Linked DNA regions of Drosophila melanogaster. The protein of the gene in region 1 interacts with the protein of each later gene in a pairwise test. Each region holds a gene or a part of one and is shown on either strand. Other genes may lie near its edges. The genes, in order: CG7910 and Rift.

Region 1 (10,714 bases):
CATTTGTTTATCTTTGGCAGCGCAGCCGTTCTTGTAAACATCCTAAAGCCTGACCTAAGCAGATTTGACTGCCCTCTTTCAACGCTACCTAATCTTAAGAACCCAAGAGCGAGGCTCTCCCGAAATACAAATATTGTTCAAATACTGAGGCTTCTCCTCAATCCAATTTGCATTTGATTTTTAGTCTTAAGCTGAGATCCAAAGAATAAAGTCGTGAAACTATTTCTCCTAAAAACTATTTTTTATTTCTTGGCGTTGTCCTTAGTCAACTGACGGGACATTAGTTCGACTCATAAATAAAACAACAATTTTACTGGCGCAGTCGGTAGGATACAAAAGTATCCGAAAAAAAGAACCTTCGAGTGGAAAATAAGTTAAATTTTATAGTCCAGTGCTCGAAACATCTCCCAAAATAAATTCGTGAAAACTCTTCAACTTGGATTATAATTCCAATTCGGTTATCCAATAATAAGTGGAAGTGAAATACGAAACAAAAATATTAAGTCCAAAGGCAACTAAGTTTTAAAACCAACATATAAAAATAAAAAATTAAAACAATATAGAATTTTAATAATACAACACAAAAATTTACAAAACAAAAAAAACAAACAAGTGAAACTAGAAAGCTTAAAAATAATAATAACATTGAATCCGAAACAAAACAAAAAAATAAAACACAAAAGTTAAAAATTTTACAATAAAAATGTCACAACCAATTATTGCGCTGAGCGACATAAACCTTGCCGAAGCCCGTCGGCAGCTTAAAGACATTATGCCATTCAAGGGTGATCCAGAAACCCTTCACACCTTTATCAGCAGAGTGGATTACGTAATTTCGCTCTACCAAACAAATGATGTCCGACAACAGAGGATTCTACTGGGAGCCATCGAAAGGAACTTGGACGGACAAATTACACGATCTTTGGGACTTCCGAACATCGAAGATTGGCCTACCCTTAAAGCAAGACTCATCGCGGAATTTAAAATTCAAACACCAAACTACAAACTTCTGGAGAACTTCAGGGAGACACCATACAGAGGAAGCCTAAGAGCATTCTGCGAAGAAGCGGAGAGACGACGTCAATTACTAATTTCGAAACTACACCTGGAAGGTAACCAATCGGATTTTCTTATTTATATTCAGGGTATTAAAGAATCTATTAAGATACTGATAAGGAAACTACCAATACAATTATTCACTATTTTAGCCCATCACGATATTACAGACTTAAGATCCTTAATTACCATTGCACAAAATGAGGGAATTTATGAAGAACACATTAATTTTGAATTTTATGAAAAACCAGAATATCGTAATAAAAATTCAAATTCTAACCAGAATTCGAAAACACAAAAATTCAATACAAATGTTCAAACTCAAAATCGACCAAGTTACTCACAATATTCCCAACCCTTCCAACCTAATTTTAATCAATACATTCAACCATTTAGACCTAGCTATACACAGCAGATAACTAACAACCCACCCATGTGGCACGCACCTAATTATTTCAGACCCAACCAATACATAAACCCACAACCCATTATTCAAAAAAATCATTTCCAACAATATCCCAACAAAGCCCAATTTCCCCAAACAACGCATTTTAGAGGAAATACATACCCTCGACTACAACAACCCTCTACATATAAAAATACTAACTTCCCGATTACTAAACGACTAAGACCATCGGACAGTGAACAAACTAAAATGTCTATTGACGAAATTAGATTCCAAGACGCGCATGAATTCGAACAAGTCCAACCTAATTATTACGAGCAACAGTATTTTAACCAAAATCAATACAATCCGTATCAAAATCATAGCTTCATTAATGAAGGGCAACAACAAGTCCAATCTGTACAAATTAATAACAAACAAAACCAAAATAATTCTGAACTAAACGAAAATTTTCGGTTAACAGCCCCGGAAAATACGGAATGCAAAAAATACAGAATTATGAAAATAACCACACCATCATTGACAGTCTTTTGTTCGAACTAATGCAGTTTACGGAATACATAGAAGATTTGGAAATGGCTATGCAGCTTTCCAGACTTGGACTGTTTAACCCCAAATTACTAAACTACGACAAACTTGAAAATGTGAACAGCCAAAACATTTTGAACATTAAAACATCCACTTGGATTAACTACAATGATAACCAAGTATTAATCATATCCCACATACCCATTTACCTTTCACTAATAAGCACAATTAAAATAATTCCTTACCCAGACTCCAACGGCTATCAGCTAGATTACACAGACACACAATCATATTTTGAAAAAGAAAATAAAGTTTATAATACCGAAAATAAAGAAGTAAAAAATGAATGTGTCACCAATATTATTAAACACTTAAATCCAATTTGTAATTTTAAGCCAGTACACACGAACGAAATAATAAAATACATAGAACCAAACACAATTGTAACCTGGAACTTAACCCAAACAATTCTTAACCAAAATTGCCAAAATTCAATTAATAAAATAAAAATAGAAGGAAACAAAATGATAAGAGTAACGCAATGCAAAATAGAAATCAATAATATAATTTTAAGTGAAAATCTGTTAGAACCAGAAATAGATTTGACACCACTATACACACCACTTAATATAACAAAAATAAAAATTGTAAAACACAACGACATTGTTAAGATGATTTCAGAGAACAATATTACACTTTACATACAAATGATCATTGTAATAATCGCACTAATTTTGTTGTACTCATATTTAAGATATGTATCATTTAAACCATTTATGATGCTGTATGCAAAACTTAAAATAAGAAAAAATCAAAATCAAAACACACCACAACAAACAGAAATAGAAGAAACTCCATTTCCCACACTATATCCATCAATCCCAGCCCAAGTATAGGCTTCTCTTTAAGGGAAGGGGAGTGACGTATTTGGGTGGTCCAAACCAGCCACTTCCATTATTTCAAAGAAATCAGTAATGCACTCTAGTAATTTTCCATAACGTATCCCAGCTGCGCAGCATTTGTTTATCTTTGGCAGCGCAGCCGTTCTTGTAAACATCCTAAAGCCTGACCTAAGCAGATTTGACTGCCCTCTTTCAACGCTACCTAATCTTAAGAACCCAAGAGCGAGGCTCTCCCGAAATACAAATATTGTTCAAATACTGAGGCTTCTCCTCAATCCAATTTGCATTTGATTTTTAGTCTTAAGCTGAGATCCAAAGAATAAAGTCGTGAAACTATTTCTCCTAAAAACTATTTTTTATTTCTTGGCGTTGTCCTTAGTCAACTGACGGGACATTAGTTCGACTCATAAATAAAACAACAATTTTACTATATAGGGTAGGGAAGGTGCTGATAAGGTGGAAGGAAGAGGTGGAGAGTTTTTTACGAAACGTAAACAATTTCGCAGCGAGAGTGGAGTGATTGACTAAGAGAGGCTATAACTAATTCTCTACACTCGCGGTACCGAAACACTGATTGATTCGGGATCTCACTCTTTTACAAAGTCTGGAATAATGGCGGTTAGAATCCCCTGGTGCCTTAGATCTTTCGGCAATGCGGTGAGTACTTCAAAAAGGAGTATTTTTAATACTAAAGAAAATAAATTTTTAATTCTACGAATAGAGTATTTTATATTTTGATTTAACATTTCATATTATTAGCATTATTCGACTTCAAAGTTCTCCCTGTCAGATACGGAATTCAAGTCCTCGACACCCTCATCTTGGTCCGAATCCTCATAGATTGGTTGCACCGATGAATGATGACCACCAAAACCAGGTCTAGTGGTCCTGTGATAGCTCCCATTTCGAATTGGGGCTGGGTTACTCCAAGCAGCATGGTTTATCTCATGATTCACAAAAATGTTCCCATTTTCATCGGGACTTGTCCTTCTTAAGCTATAGATTCCTGGCTCGTCCTTGAGGGCAATCAAACATTAAAGCAATGGCAAATTAAAATTTTAAGCACTTACGGAAATTTCAATTTGGTTTTCCATAGGATTGTCAGTCTGCGATGGAAATGTAATTGACGGGGCTCAGCACATAATGCATTATTTTTGTACTCACTCTATGTTGTCTTCGAAGCCTAAAAATATTACCCATTTCAATGGTTGTAATTGCAAGGTTGATTAAGTTGATTAAAATGCGAAGATTTCAGCTGAAGTGCCGATAGACGTAGGATATTCTATCGCTTCGCAGAGTGCCCATTTGTCTTAGATATCGATTTTGAGTCAAGCTAACGTCAATATAACGTTGTTGCAGGTCAGCTTTAGAGGGACTGTACACAAAACTAAAAAGTTATATTGATCTATCGAAAAATGTTATGGAAATAAAAAAAAAAAAAAACACTCCAATATAAACAAATATTGGTGGTCATTTATTAAACGAAGTTCACTTTAATCTTCACAACTATATTAGCACTTTAAACAAAATTTAACCTTTAACCTTAAATGGAAAACTGAGCAGGTACCCCCGATCCTCGCTTGGTGTTTCATGTGTCATGTGGTACCGGTGGCACCCAGCCGTGAAAAACGGCCTCCAGTTCGGCGGCGACCTTCAGGCAGAGTTTGTCCTGATATTGGGCGGCCACCACCTGCAACCCTATGGGCATTCCCCGTTGATTTGTGCCCATGGGCACATGGGTGGCGGGCAGACCAAGGATGTTGAACAGCAGCAGATTGTCGATCCCCGTCACGTTTAACAGCGAGGTGTGAAAACATAGGGCGCTAGTGTGGAAGGTGGGCATGATGAGGACTCCTTGGGTACCAAGCAATTGCTGTGATGGGTTTTAAATGGTCAGTATAACTTCAAGAATGATTTAATTCGCTTACATTCAGATGGCTCTTTATTTTCTGGGCCTCAACTCGGTATTCTTCCATGTTTCCAGTGGCCATAAGGCCGTTGAATCGCTTCATCACCTCCAGTACCATGGCCTCTTTGGTGAAGATTGAGTGACCTATGATGCTGTTGAAGAGTTCCACCATCAGCAAACGCATCGATGGATCACGATCCGCCCGCTGTGTTACGATACTGGGCAGACCCTTCAAGTCCACCAGGGAAACCAGGGCAATCTCGAGAGAGTTTCTCAGGAATTTAAGATCCAACTGATTGGCAAAATAGCATTAGGTCGAGAAACTCTACAAAGTTGTACTTACCTTCTTGGACTGCACACCTCCTCTTTCCAAGCACGTGACAGCTTTGGTGATGGCCAGTTTTATGTCGAAGTCCACCACGGGATGGGTGAGGCAGTTAAAGCCGGAGTATCCAAAGGCATAGTATACCTAAGCGAAAATAAGCTTTGACTATTATACATTTCCTAGTTTGGGAAATCTCACCTTCATGTCCTTCAGGGCAACTGGTTCAGACATTTTCAGTTTGTGTTTTTTATCGCCCGCCATTATTTCCAACAGCAAGGGCAAATCCCTGGCGAATCTTGTGATGGGACCGATCTGCAGCATCTCGGAGAATTTCTTGTCCGTCAACGAGTAGGGGAAGTGACCCTTGACCGACGTAAGCCCGCCAGTGGGCTTGTGGCCAAAAACGCCGCAGAACAGAGCCGGCAGGCGAATGGAACCACTGATATCGGAGCCCACACCAAAAGTTGTGGCTCCACAGCCATTCAATGATGCCTCGCCGCCAGAAGATCCGGCGGAAGTTCGTTGCAGATCATATGGATTCAAGCAACGTCCTTGGATATTATTGCTGGTTTCGAAACTCATGCAAAACTCTGGATTGGCAGACACCAAAAGGGGTATGCCACCAGCAGCACGGACCAGTTCAACCACATCGCCGTCCTGGGGGGCTTTCATATTTTTGCGAGCAAGACTGCCCACGGCAAAGGATAATCCTATTAACCAGTGAAAAATATAAGTTTCTGCTATATTTTTAGTGATTTTGAGTATCTGAAACATACCTTTAAGACCACATGACTCCTTGACAGTAAACGGTACACCCAGTATGGGATACTTGGTGTACAGGGCCACACGATCGAACTCAGAGCTCGCCTTTTCGATGAACTGATCTGCCAATTTTGCATCTTGGAGGGCAGCCTCGAATCGATCCTCGACAACGGCATTCAGAGAAGGATTCACTTCCTGCACACGTGCTATATAGGCGCTAACCAACTCCACCGAGGTGATCTGGAATCGAACCCCGACATATATGACTTGCAAATGTCCCACACGAATGACGCGATTGGACTTGGAGACTCACCTCGCCGCGTCGCAATTGGGTGACCAATTCAACGACGGACTTCTTCAGCAGGGGATTACGAATGCCCGAAAATTTGGGTTTCTGACGGGGCAATACAAAATCTAGAATCTTATTCACCAACATGCCAAAGGCATTCAGAATGAAGGCCAGCAGTCGTAGAATGATCTCCATGTCGAGCAGGCGTTCGGGTCACAAAAGGTTGGGGTATTCAAATCACTGGACTTTGATCGGACCTCAGCGTAAGTGGGTTAACTATAGCTGACGTTGGTTTGCCTAGGAGGTGGTATGGGGATCGGGAACTGCTGCTGCACCTGGAACACCACCGAACACTTCGACTGCGGATCGTGGACTACGCGTGGCGATTGACACTCGCACTTATCGTCCCTTGTTTTCCATTTCAATTTGAATTTAATTTCAAAGTTAGCTCGGGTTGGCATTAACCAACACTATATAAACTTTGGATGTTCTCGTTTTCGAAAATCATTTTGAAAAAAAAAAATACTTAAAGAAAAAATAGCTCTGGCTTTTAACTCAAATTAATTTAAAGAATTCAATTAACAATAATTTAAAACCAATTGAAAGTAGTCGCTACACTTCTAAAAATAAAATCATTACTTACCTAAAAAAAGCGTCACCCTTCGTATCATAAAAAATGCAATTATTCATTCATTTATTTATTTAGTAATAATTTTAGTTATTGTTACACTTATCACTTACGTGCTAAATGGAAACGTTCAACAAAAGCAAAAACTTGTTTAGCACATTACTCACTGGAAAACGAATCGAATCGGCTAACGAAACGGTTAACAAATAACAAAGTACTTCAACCGAGAACAAAGATTTTCAGAATGAGAGTGAACTCAGTTAGGCAACTTGGCAAAGGCGCTAAGGAGACGTCTATATATCCGTATAAGTATAAGTTGCTGGCTTGCGCAAAAATTGACATCTATGTAGCTATATGTATGTATCTTCGTATGCTCTACACTCATGAATATTCAAACAAAACTCTTCAACTTGTCTGGCATATATCCATAGACAATTACGCGGGTATGTATGCTGGGTTTTGTGTTCTTAAAATCGTATATCTGCTGCAGGATTGACATCGAACTGCTTAACCCCACGACGGCAACCATTCGTCGAAAAAGTTTGAACACAGTTTATATTTTTGCAATATTCTAAGTACTATAACCTACCAAAATAACTGTAAAAGAAAGTTTCTATGAACGTTTGAAATCAAAATTAGGTCCGATTTTGCGTAGTTTTCGACAAAGTGTCACCGTCAAAAGGGCTTCGACTGGCATATCCCTCAAAGGGTTAACATGCTTTTCTTTGGTCTTCTTATGGCCTACCCCCTTCATATGTCTGCTTTTCATTGATATATTCTGCGGAACAACAAAAGAAGTATTATTCTATATTGGGATATGCTTTAGAGTTTTGGTTTGTAGGGTTTTCTAGTCTCGGTAAATGTGTATATCTTATGCTTAATTTATTTTATTAGCTATCATATCATATACTTTGCATGGTTATCATAGATTGGTTATTAACATTAAAATATTTATTGTCTAAAACATTTCGCCCCGCTTAGTGCCACTCTAGACCTATGTATGCATCCCAAATCGGATTGCTTGTTTTCCCCCCCAACGATTCTAACTATAGCACACACCTTTGGCTACTTACAGATAACTCTTCCCTGTCCACCGATTAAATTTTGAATTTAATAAGTGTTTGATTCTAATACTTTGCTGATGGTCGAAATCCAGCAGATATTCCATTAAGCGGAGCACTTTCGTTGGGTATGTATAGAAAACTTATGGGCCTAAGGAGGTGTAAGGGGTTTGGGAATGGAAAAGTTTGCAAGGCGCCAGACTCTCGGGGCTCTGAAGTGTCTGGTCCTTTGCGCAAGTGCAGTGCAAAATGGAAATCTATCAGGGATTTAACTCAACCACCAGCAGCTTAACCACTTCAGATCCCCAAACCATCTTAGGTCATGTGCAGATCCCCCTTGAGGATCCGCGTAAAGGTCTTCTTGAACTGCTGATTGGCCAGAGCGTAGCAAAAAGGATTCATCGGGCTGTTGGCGTAGCAGAGGAAGTACGAGAACATGTAGAGGTGTTCATTGATGCAGGGCGGATGCCGGCAGAATCCCTCGACGAGGGCCAACACATGGTAGGGTGTCCAGCAGGCCACGAAGCAGCCCAAAATGAACGAGATCGTGCGAAACGCTTTGCGAGCACGATTCTCCGACTTGGACTTCTGCCGTCCACCCACTCCAAGGATCAGGGGTAGAGCCTTCTTGCTCTTGAAGTGCTTTCCTATCGAATGAATGAATGCCCTTTTGCTGGAGTTTCGGCTGGCCGCCAAACTCTTCTCCTCCCTGTTGGCATCGTCATCCCCCGCGTTCTTTTTGGTGGCACCAACACCGTCTTGTTCCCCGCCTCCACCCACACCGCCCGTACTGCTGGTGGTGCCCGAGGTGGAGGGCATCTTGTTGGTATTACTGTCCGAGGTTTCTCGCTCCTCAATCCTTTCCAGTGGCACCGGTGGTGTTACACCCGCCGCCGACTGGGGCGTTCCCGTTTGTGGCGTTGAAGTCTTTACCTTGGGTGAGAGTGGCATTGGTGGCATCGGGGAATAGAGTATGGCATCCTTGCTGCTGGTCTCCATAGGACTGGAGGCCCGGCGATGGGGACAGTCCGCAGCTAGCTTTCCGGGCACATCCAACAGGCAGATGGCCTCAATGCAGCTCTCCCGCCTCACCTTAGCAAAGTCCTCGATTCCTGTGTACGAGACGAGAAGACGTTTTTCAATGGCCACCGCCTCCTCGATACTCTGACTCTGACTCTGGTTGTGATTCGGATTCAGGTTGAGGCTCAGGCTTTGGCTGGGACTCTGGTTTTGGCTGGGAGTTTGACTGAGGCTCTGGTTCAGGTTCGATTTTGGTGGATTTCGGCGTGCGGGCGGTGGTGGAGGCAGGACTGGTGGTTTCCCCTGGACGCTGTCATTCGGGGAGGTCGTCGAGTTGGCCGTCACACTGGCCAGCATGGCGGAGCTCTCGTCCATATAGCGTAGCTCCGAGTTCGTCATCAGGTCATAGGTCAGGGCCAGTTCACTGTTACCGGAACTATTCCCAAAGGGACGATCCGAGTAGTCATCGGAGAGCGGGGTGGGGCACTGAAAGGCGTCGGGAGGTGGCAAAATGGTCTGCACCAGACCCTGATGCACTTGATCGCTAGGGACCTCGATGGGTGCCAAGTCCACGGGGGACAGGGGATCACTGGTGTTGAGTAATGTTGGAGGAGCGGACAGGTCGACCAAACGATCATGCTCGGCTATCTGGGACAGTGTGGAGCAGGATGTGCGCTTGGGCCTGTCCAGCGGTGGGTTCGGCTGGTTTTGGTGGTGCTGGTGGTGCGGTTGTTGCTGGTTCTGGTGGTGGTGCAGGGAGCGCATCTCTTCCTTGCTCTGCGCCCGCTGTAACGGACTCTGGTTGTGATGGTGCTGTTGGTGGTGGTGGTACTGGTGCATGGCCTCGATCGACTTGGAGTTAGTGGTGCTCTTCTGCAAGTTACCTTTGCCACGAGTGGCCAGCAGGGCGGCCTGTGCCCCAAAGACCAGACCAATCGATGACCGCTTCCTCATGTTGTTCAATTTCTGCTGGGTGATCAACTGCTGGGCCTGGTTGACGGATGATTCCTCATCGGAATCGAAGGCAGGACTGCTGGATCTCTCGCTCTTTTCCGCATCCACGGCTGCCTCACGTTTTTTCGCCTCCTCCTGGATTTTTGCTGCCGACGCTCTCCTCTGTTCCGGTGTCATCTTCTCCACTTCCTCGGTGGCCACGGCCAGAGGATTTGCCTGACCGGAACCACTTAATCTCTTAATCACTGTGGTGCAGGCACTATCCAAATCGGTTTGATCTCCCGCAAGTTCCACTTTGGTCTTTAGGATTTTCTCCTCAATCACACCAATGCCAGCTGCATGACCTGCCATTCCGGACATCGCTCCAGCACTCAGTGCCACCATGGATTGCATTTTCCGTTGCTTCGCCTCACTGCGCTTTTGCATATCATAGGCTGTTTTGTAGATCCCGGCATATAAGACAAAAAGCACAATTAGTGTGGTCCAATAGTAGCCAATGATTAGGGCCGTATTAAAGATCGGATCCTTGAGAAACTGAACGGCGCACTGGCCAGGAAGTAGATCCCGCTTGCCGGTGAAGTGCTCCCATCCAAAAATCGAGATGAAGAAGAGCAGAGCGGGAATGATCCAAGTGATTGTGACCATATATATCACTCTGGTTCTCGTCCTCCAACTCCGGTACTTGGCGGCAATCTTCACAGAGCAGTAGCGATCTATCGTGATCAACAGCACCGTGTACTGGGACACCAGACACACAGTATAGTCGACGGAAAGCCAGAGATCGCAGAGCATCGGACCCAGGTCCCAATAACCCTTGAGCACGTATATCGTGTAGAAGGGCATCGAAACGGTTCCTGAAATATGGGTTTATAGT
Region 2 (6,766 bases), about 24 Mb from region 1:
CGAGTGGATACAGTTCCCACGACATTCCTACATATTCCCCAACAGGTGGTCTGGCAGGAGGAGTGCGCAACCTGAGCGGCCAAAAACCGAAGACCGCGATCCTAATGCTGAACATGGGCGGTCCGACCCACACGGACCAGGTGCATGACTACCTCCTGCGTATTATGACCGACCGGGACATGATCCAGCTGCCGGTGCAGAGCCGTCTTGGTCCGTGGATCGCCCAGCGCAGGACGCCCGAGGTACAGAAGAAGTACAAGGAGATCGGCGGTGGTTCACCGATTCTTAAGTGGACCGAGCTGCAGGGCCAGCTCATGTGCGAGCAGTTGGACAGAATCTCCCCGGAGACAGCACCTCACAAGCACTACGTCGGTTTCCGCTACGTGAATCCCCTCACTGAGAACACGCTGGCCGAGATCGAAAAGTGAGTGTAGTCGAGAAGTAGAACAAGAGTGATGTAAATAATCCGAAGGTCGTGAAATTGACCTATATATATTGCTACGGACTCTCACAATAAGATATGTTCTAGTAAATAAGTTTGTATAGACTTCTGACTTCTTATGCATGTTTCAATGTCCTGCTATTATCAGTTGACTTCTTGGACAAATTACTGAAACCTAAACCTGGAAATTATGGTCATTTGCGCTACTTAAAGAATACATGTTAATATTTTAACATATTTACAGGGACAAACCAGAGCGCGTTGTACTCTTTTCACAATATCCACAGTACAGCTGCGCCACCTCCGGATCCAGCTTTAACTCCATATTTACTCATTATCGGAGCAAGTGAGTTAGAAATGCACAATTGCAGCTATTTATTTGATCCCCTCTACCTCTTTAGTAATCTGCCCTCGGATATCAAATGGAGCATTATCGACAGGTGGGGCACTCATCCACTTCTAATCAAAACGTTTGCCCAGCGAATTCGCGACGAGCTGGCCAAATTTGTGGAAACGAAACGAAATGATGTGGTCATCCTCTTCACTGCCCACTCCCTTCCCCTTAAGGCTGTGAACCGGGGTGACGCGTATCCCTCGGAGATTGGTGCTAGCGTACACATGGTGATGCAGGAACTTGGTCAGACGAATCCCTACAGCCTGGCATGGCAATCCAAGGTGGGCCCGCTACCCTGGCTGGCGCCCGCAACTGATGATGCCATTAAGGTGTAACTTTAATGCCGGATTTCCATTCCCATCCACTAAAACCAATCCCATCTTTACAGGGCTATGTTAAGCAAGGCCTGAAGAACTTCATCCTTGTGCCCATTGCCTTCGTGAACGAGCACATCGAGACGCTGCATGAGCTCGACATCGAGTACTGCGACGAACTGGCCAAGGAGGTAGGCGTAGAGGAAATCCGTCGAGCTGCAACCCCCAACGACCACCCGCTGTTCATCGACGCCCTGACAAACGTTGTGGCAGACCACCTGAAGTCCCAGCAGGCAGTCAACCCCAAGTTCCTCATGCGTTGTCCCATGTGCTCCAATCCAAAGTGCAGGGAGAGCAAAAGCTGGTACCGCCAGCTCTGCTCGAACTAAGCAACCAAGTCAACTTGCGGGGGTGGGTAGCACTGCGTGACAAGCGTTTCAAGTGCTGCAGCTGGAGGAGAACATTTATGCATTCATTTGGGTTTCTGGGGGATTGGTTTTCACATACTGGTGTTTATTTCTTTCCGCTTTAATTAAAGTCTCTGTTGAACAGTATAAAAAATGCACAGTTGGTTTTGAAGTGGTAGCTTTGTTGAGAAAACATCTATGCCTTTTCTATGTTACAGCGAAACTATAAAAATGGAATGCTAAAATGTAGCTTTTAAATGGCGAATGCCAAGCGAGCTTGCTAACTAATATACTCTTCTAGGAACACAATTTATAAGTTCCAAACCCATAACAAAACAGTTGCGCTCTATAAAGAGAGCCAGCAGTACTTTAAAATGTTCTCTTATCTTAGTCACGCTCTCGCTCTGTCGCACGTGCGATGGATTCGGTATTTTTTCGCCGGACGAACAGCTGTTCGACTGTCAGTTTTATTCTTGCCTTCCGATCCGATGTTTATTAAATCAAATTCCACTTTTGAGTGTTCAAATGGCTGACAAAATTTGCGAAAGCTGGTTGTTCTCCCCTGCAGTCGACTTCTTCTGGACACTCTTGCATTTCTCATCGTGTCGCGCCGTCAATGGAACTTCCCGGAATATTGCATAATTGAGACTTCCCAGGCCTTCAAATTGGAACTTCGACTTTGCATTAATTGACGGCTCGCGCTGGAATTAACCTGCCAATTGCCTTCGATATTCCACATTACGCCAATTGAGCCGTTGATTTTTAATAACGAACCGAGGCGCGTTTGGCCACAGTGGCCTGGATCGGGAAATCTAATCGCCGCGGGGATCATAAAACAATTCGAAGAGCACACTCCGACTCCGAATATGAGCAGGTACCACAGAGGCCGAGGAGCTGGTAGCCCCACGAATCCAGCGGGGCCAGTCTACGGCGTGATCTCGACGTTGGACGACGCCACTCCGAGTCCCGCGGATTTCGCCAGGTAAGCGAGCAATTACTGCTTTCACGTTTTATTTGCGCTTGCTGAGAGCGAAAACCAGTTTGGGATCGGGCTTAAATGCTGCGGGCGGGCTTTCTTTCCATCCCTTTTTCCATATTTGGCAGACTTATATTTTACGACCACATCGTTACACAGCAACTATAAAACAACCATTGGTGTAAAGATAATTTGGAAATTTTCCGTATTTATTTTCATTTTTGTTATCAGCTTTTCTTGCCATAGTCTTGTACTTTACTTGGAAACACTGTTGCTGTAGTTAAACTGTAACTTGGAGTTTGCAAATCGTATGAATTTGTAAAACAAGTTATATGTATTCATATCCAGTAAAAAGAATCAACACATCATAGTGGAAACCCTTTAGTTATATTAGAAACTTTAGTCCTGCTTCTCACCTAAGGAATCTCTTTAGAGATTAAATGAATGCCTACCAAGTTCCCGATTGTGATTCTTATCGTCTTCAGCCAGATACGTGCAGACATCGAATGGCCACAAATTAATTGAGTTAGCAGATTAGATGAAGATCGTATGTGACCGATGGCACACACTTAATATCACATGAAAATAAGATTAGCACAGAGATATATCCACTTTGGTATATCCAAAAGAAATCAAAGGTGCATTTTTTTTTGTTTTCTTTTTTTTTTTAAATGTATTAATGGGTGCCTCCAATGGGAGTACAAAAGCAGCATTTTGTTAATTTGAAAAGCTGTCGCTTTCGGTTGATTCTATACATTTTTTACAAGATTCGTGTGAGGTTTATAATTATTATATACACACACATCCATTCCACACGAATGTAACGTAAAGCCACAGAACCATTTTAATCGTATTCGCTCGGTTATCTGTCCGAAAGACAAACATAATGAACTGTAAATGCCATATGCTTGATAATGACTTTTTAAGGCTTATCTGAACCATTGAGAGAAATAAGCCCGTAATTGTGACTTGGGTGCCATAAGCCTAGGCCACTAATAGTGTGCAAAGTTGCATGCTAAAATTAGTTTTCGTTAATAAATATTCTTGAAAACATTGGGTGTTTAATTACATCTAGATATTCACAATGTGAAAGGTAGCTAATTTTTGAATTATTGCTAGCTGTTTATATAGGTTATAGATTATATCTAATCTCTTATTCATTTTACAGATGCTCCTCTCTCGAGGCCAAGAAAAGTGAGCTGAGCTTGTTCCTTAACTGGGGAGGCCCACAAAAAAATATGGAGATAAGCTCGAAGCTAAGAAACCGCAGCTGGCTCGTCGACGTGCTGGCCATCTTCTTTGGCATAGGCACCTGGCTGGGCGTCAATGGCACCTTCATTCAGCTTCCCCTGCTGGTGGACGAGGCACCAGAGGGCTGGAGTCTGCCCTCTTACCTTAGCGTTATGGTCCAGATTGGCAACTTGGGCCCACTGCTCTACACTGCCATCCAGAAGTACTCGCCCAAGAAACTAAATGATGGTTGGACCATTCACGGAGTGCTCCTGGTGGGAGCTATATCGTGCTTGCTGACGGCGTTCTTCTACAACCAAACCGCTTCGGTCGCTGGCACGGATCACAGCTTAGCCCTCTTTTTGCTGACCTGCTTCACGGCGTTAAATGCCTGCACTAGCTCGGTGCTTTTTATGCCCTACATGGGACGCTTCAAGGAGCAGTACATGGTCACCTACTTTATTGGCGAGGGGCTGAGTGGTCTCCTGCCCAGCGTGACGGCTTTGATCCAGGGCATCGGCGAGAGTGGCGACTGTGTACTGGTCAACGTAACCGAAAGCGGAGAGGAGGTCTACGCGCTGCGGAAGACACCTCCGAGATTCGATACCCGTGTTTTCTTCCTTATCCTTTTCGCGCTCATGGTTCTAGCCTATGTGGGGTATGCACTTCTGAATTCCCTCCCCTTGGCCAGAAGGGAGTACGCCCAGGTTACCGTCAGTGAGGGCAACAAGTACGTTTACGGAGAGGCGGATAACCAGCCAAAAGCGGAAAAGCTGAGTAAAGGCCAGTACACATACCTCCTCCTGCTAATCGGTGCGATTTCGCTGTTTAGTAACGGAATGTTCGGCAGCATACAGTCCTACTCCAGTGCCCCGTACGGATCACAAGCGTACCACTTAGCAGCCACCCTCAGTGTGATAGCCAACCCGGTTGCCTGCTTCATGGCCATGTTCCTGCATTTTACCTCCCTGCGGATTATCACGGTGCTCTCTATCCTTGCGGGTCTGCTGACCAGCTATGTTTTCACCACGGCGGCTCTGAGTCCTCTTCCGCCACTTCACGACCAGACCGTTGGTGCCGTACTCGTGGTCACAGCCTGGACTTTGCTGGTAGGGATTGTGAGCTACACGAAACTGGGAATCACCACGGTTATGCGGGCGCAGGGCGGACAATCGCTGGTCTGGGTGGGCGCCATCACGCAGCTAGGATCCGCTATCGGAGCAGTGGCCATCTTCTTTGCGATCAACTACTCAGACCTTTTCCAGGCCGCAGAGTCGAACTGCTAACCTCGCCAGAAACTCGACGCGGCCAGGATTTCCAGGGATGCATCGTGATTTTAAAATTGCTATTACTGTAGTTTAGTGTGATATTTTAATGTGTATTTTCACCTCAAGTCACAATGAAGACAATACCTACCTGAACTCGCGCTTTTTTATACAACAATTTGCAGTTGACTTGCAACCCTTCGTAGTTTTAAGTATAAAAGTGGATATCAACATAATGTACATAGGACAAGAACAAGAATCCGAAGTTTTAAAAATTATAAACGTTGGCTTCTAAGTAAAAAGATAAAGTTCGAACCTAATGTCTTCCCTTGTTTTGATTTAAATCCAGCAAAAGGTGCTTTGAGTTATATATCTCTGATATGAAAATCAATTTTCTGTATTTAAATATTAATTTGAAGAGGTATTATTATAGTGCCTTTGCCTGTATATTATTTAAAGTTTAATATGTAGTTTTGACGGATTTACATCTTTCTTATACCAACTAAAATTTATTTTTTCTATAATCGTCCTTTAAATTCTTACTAGGCATTGAAAAGATACTCCTAAATGCAACTAATTTGTATTAATTGTGTTTAAAGCTTGCTCTTTACCAATATCAATTTTTTACCGATCGGCCCTTATATCCGCCCCCGATTCGTTATTGGACCGCTCCGGCTGCTCTACCTCGCTGTCTATGTCCCCCTCGTAGCCCGAATTTGTTTTCGAGGCAACGGGAAGGGGATTGTGCCCTTTAGACAGGAAGGACTCGTCCAAGGTGCAGCAGCTACAAAAGCACTCCTTAAAATGACGGCAGGTATCCCCAAGTTTCTCGGGGGCCGCCTCTAAGACCTTGTTGAATGCTTCGATCTTCTCGCGCAGGCTGCGGCTGGCACTGGGACACCCAAAGAGCTGACTTCCTTGTGGAGACGGCCGTGAAGATTCGCTGCCAATCTTCTCTAGAAAGCCGAGAACCTTCTCCAGTGAGTCTCGGGCACGTTTGAAGTTCTCCTGGCTCTCCCGCAGAACTTGGCTTTCATTGAGGTGCTCAAATTCCACCAATAGACCTTGAATCTCGGTGAGGTCAGAAGGCAAACTCATGCCCGCCACGGCGGAGGTTTGCGGGGCGTTCACAGCATTAACCGTCTCGAAACCCACGATCAGTCGCTGTATCTTGGAGGCCCCGGCGCGGTGGCCACACCTCGCGAGCTGCATCATGTCGTTCACATCGCCCACCTCCTTGAGCAACTGCACCGACGACTGCATTACCTTCTGGTGCTCCTGAATGCCCTGCCGCAAACGGTCTTGCAGGTTGTGAAGGTATAAGCTGAGTTGACGCACCTGCTCCTTTTCATCGAAATTACTTAGAAAGACTGGGAGGAAATCAGGAAGGAGTAAGTTTACCTTTGAGCATATTCAAATGTTACATGTACATGCTAAGTACATGGCATTACTAGAGAGGAGCTTTAATTTAATATTATTTAACACCTACGGTCTTACCAGGAATTATATTTTCGCTCTCTGATGCTGAATTATTGTCGGCCATTGTTAAACGCTTCAGTCCACTAGGGATCCCAAAAATCACTATAAATTTTGAAAACTGGTGACAAACCGTGACTTTAATTCAATCTTATGCCAATGTAAATCTCTAAGGTAAAATGATTTGAAAAAGTGTACACTGTTGCCTATTATCACGGTTTTGAGCCACCGCTGCTCTCCGTTTTTCGATCGCCTTGGTCCC

Evidence for each region.
Region 2: the proteins of CG7910 (region 1) and Rift interact in a two-hybrid assay, tested with the Drosophila melanogaster proteins (one large-scale study listed by BioGRID).

Annotation. Positions count from the first base shown.
Region 1 is NT_033777.3:8,083,200-8,093,913, reverse strand, and holds CG7910 (uncharacterized protein), read right to left. Parts: upstream 6,663-10,714; 5' UTR 6,373-6,662; coding exon 6,202-6,372; intron 6,129-6,201; coding exon 5,903-6,128; intron 5,837-5,902; coding exon 5,325-5,836; intron 5,271-5,324; coding exon 5,145-5,270; intron 5,094-5,144; coding exon 4,821-5,093; intron 4,766-4,820; coding exon 4,481-4,765; 3' UTR 4,388-4,480; downstream 1-4,387. Other genes in the region: mAChR-B (muscarinic acetylcholine Receptor, B-type), read right to left, coding at 8,182-10,694.
Region 2 is NT_033777.3:31,805,399-31,812,164, reverse strand, and holds Rift (riboflavin transporter), read left to right. Parts: upstream 1-1,978; 5' UTR 1,979-2,423; coding exon 2,424-2,539; intron 2,540-3,701; coding exon 3,702-5,049; 3' UTR 5,050-5,298; downstream 5,299-6,766. Other genes in the region: FeCH (ferrochelatase), read left to right, coding at 46-424, 687-788, 844-1,165, 1,225-1,539; CG1971 (uncharacterized protein), read right to left, coding at 5,653-6,398, 6,526-6,571.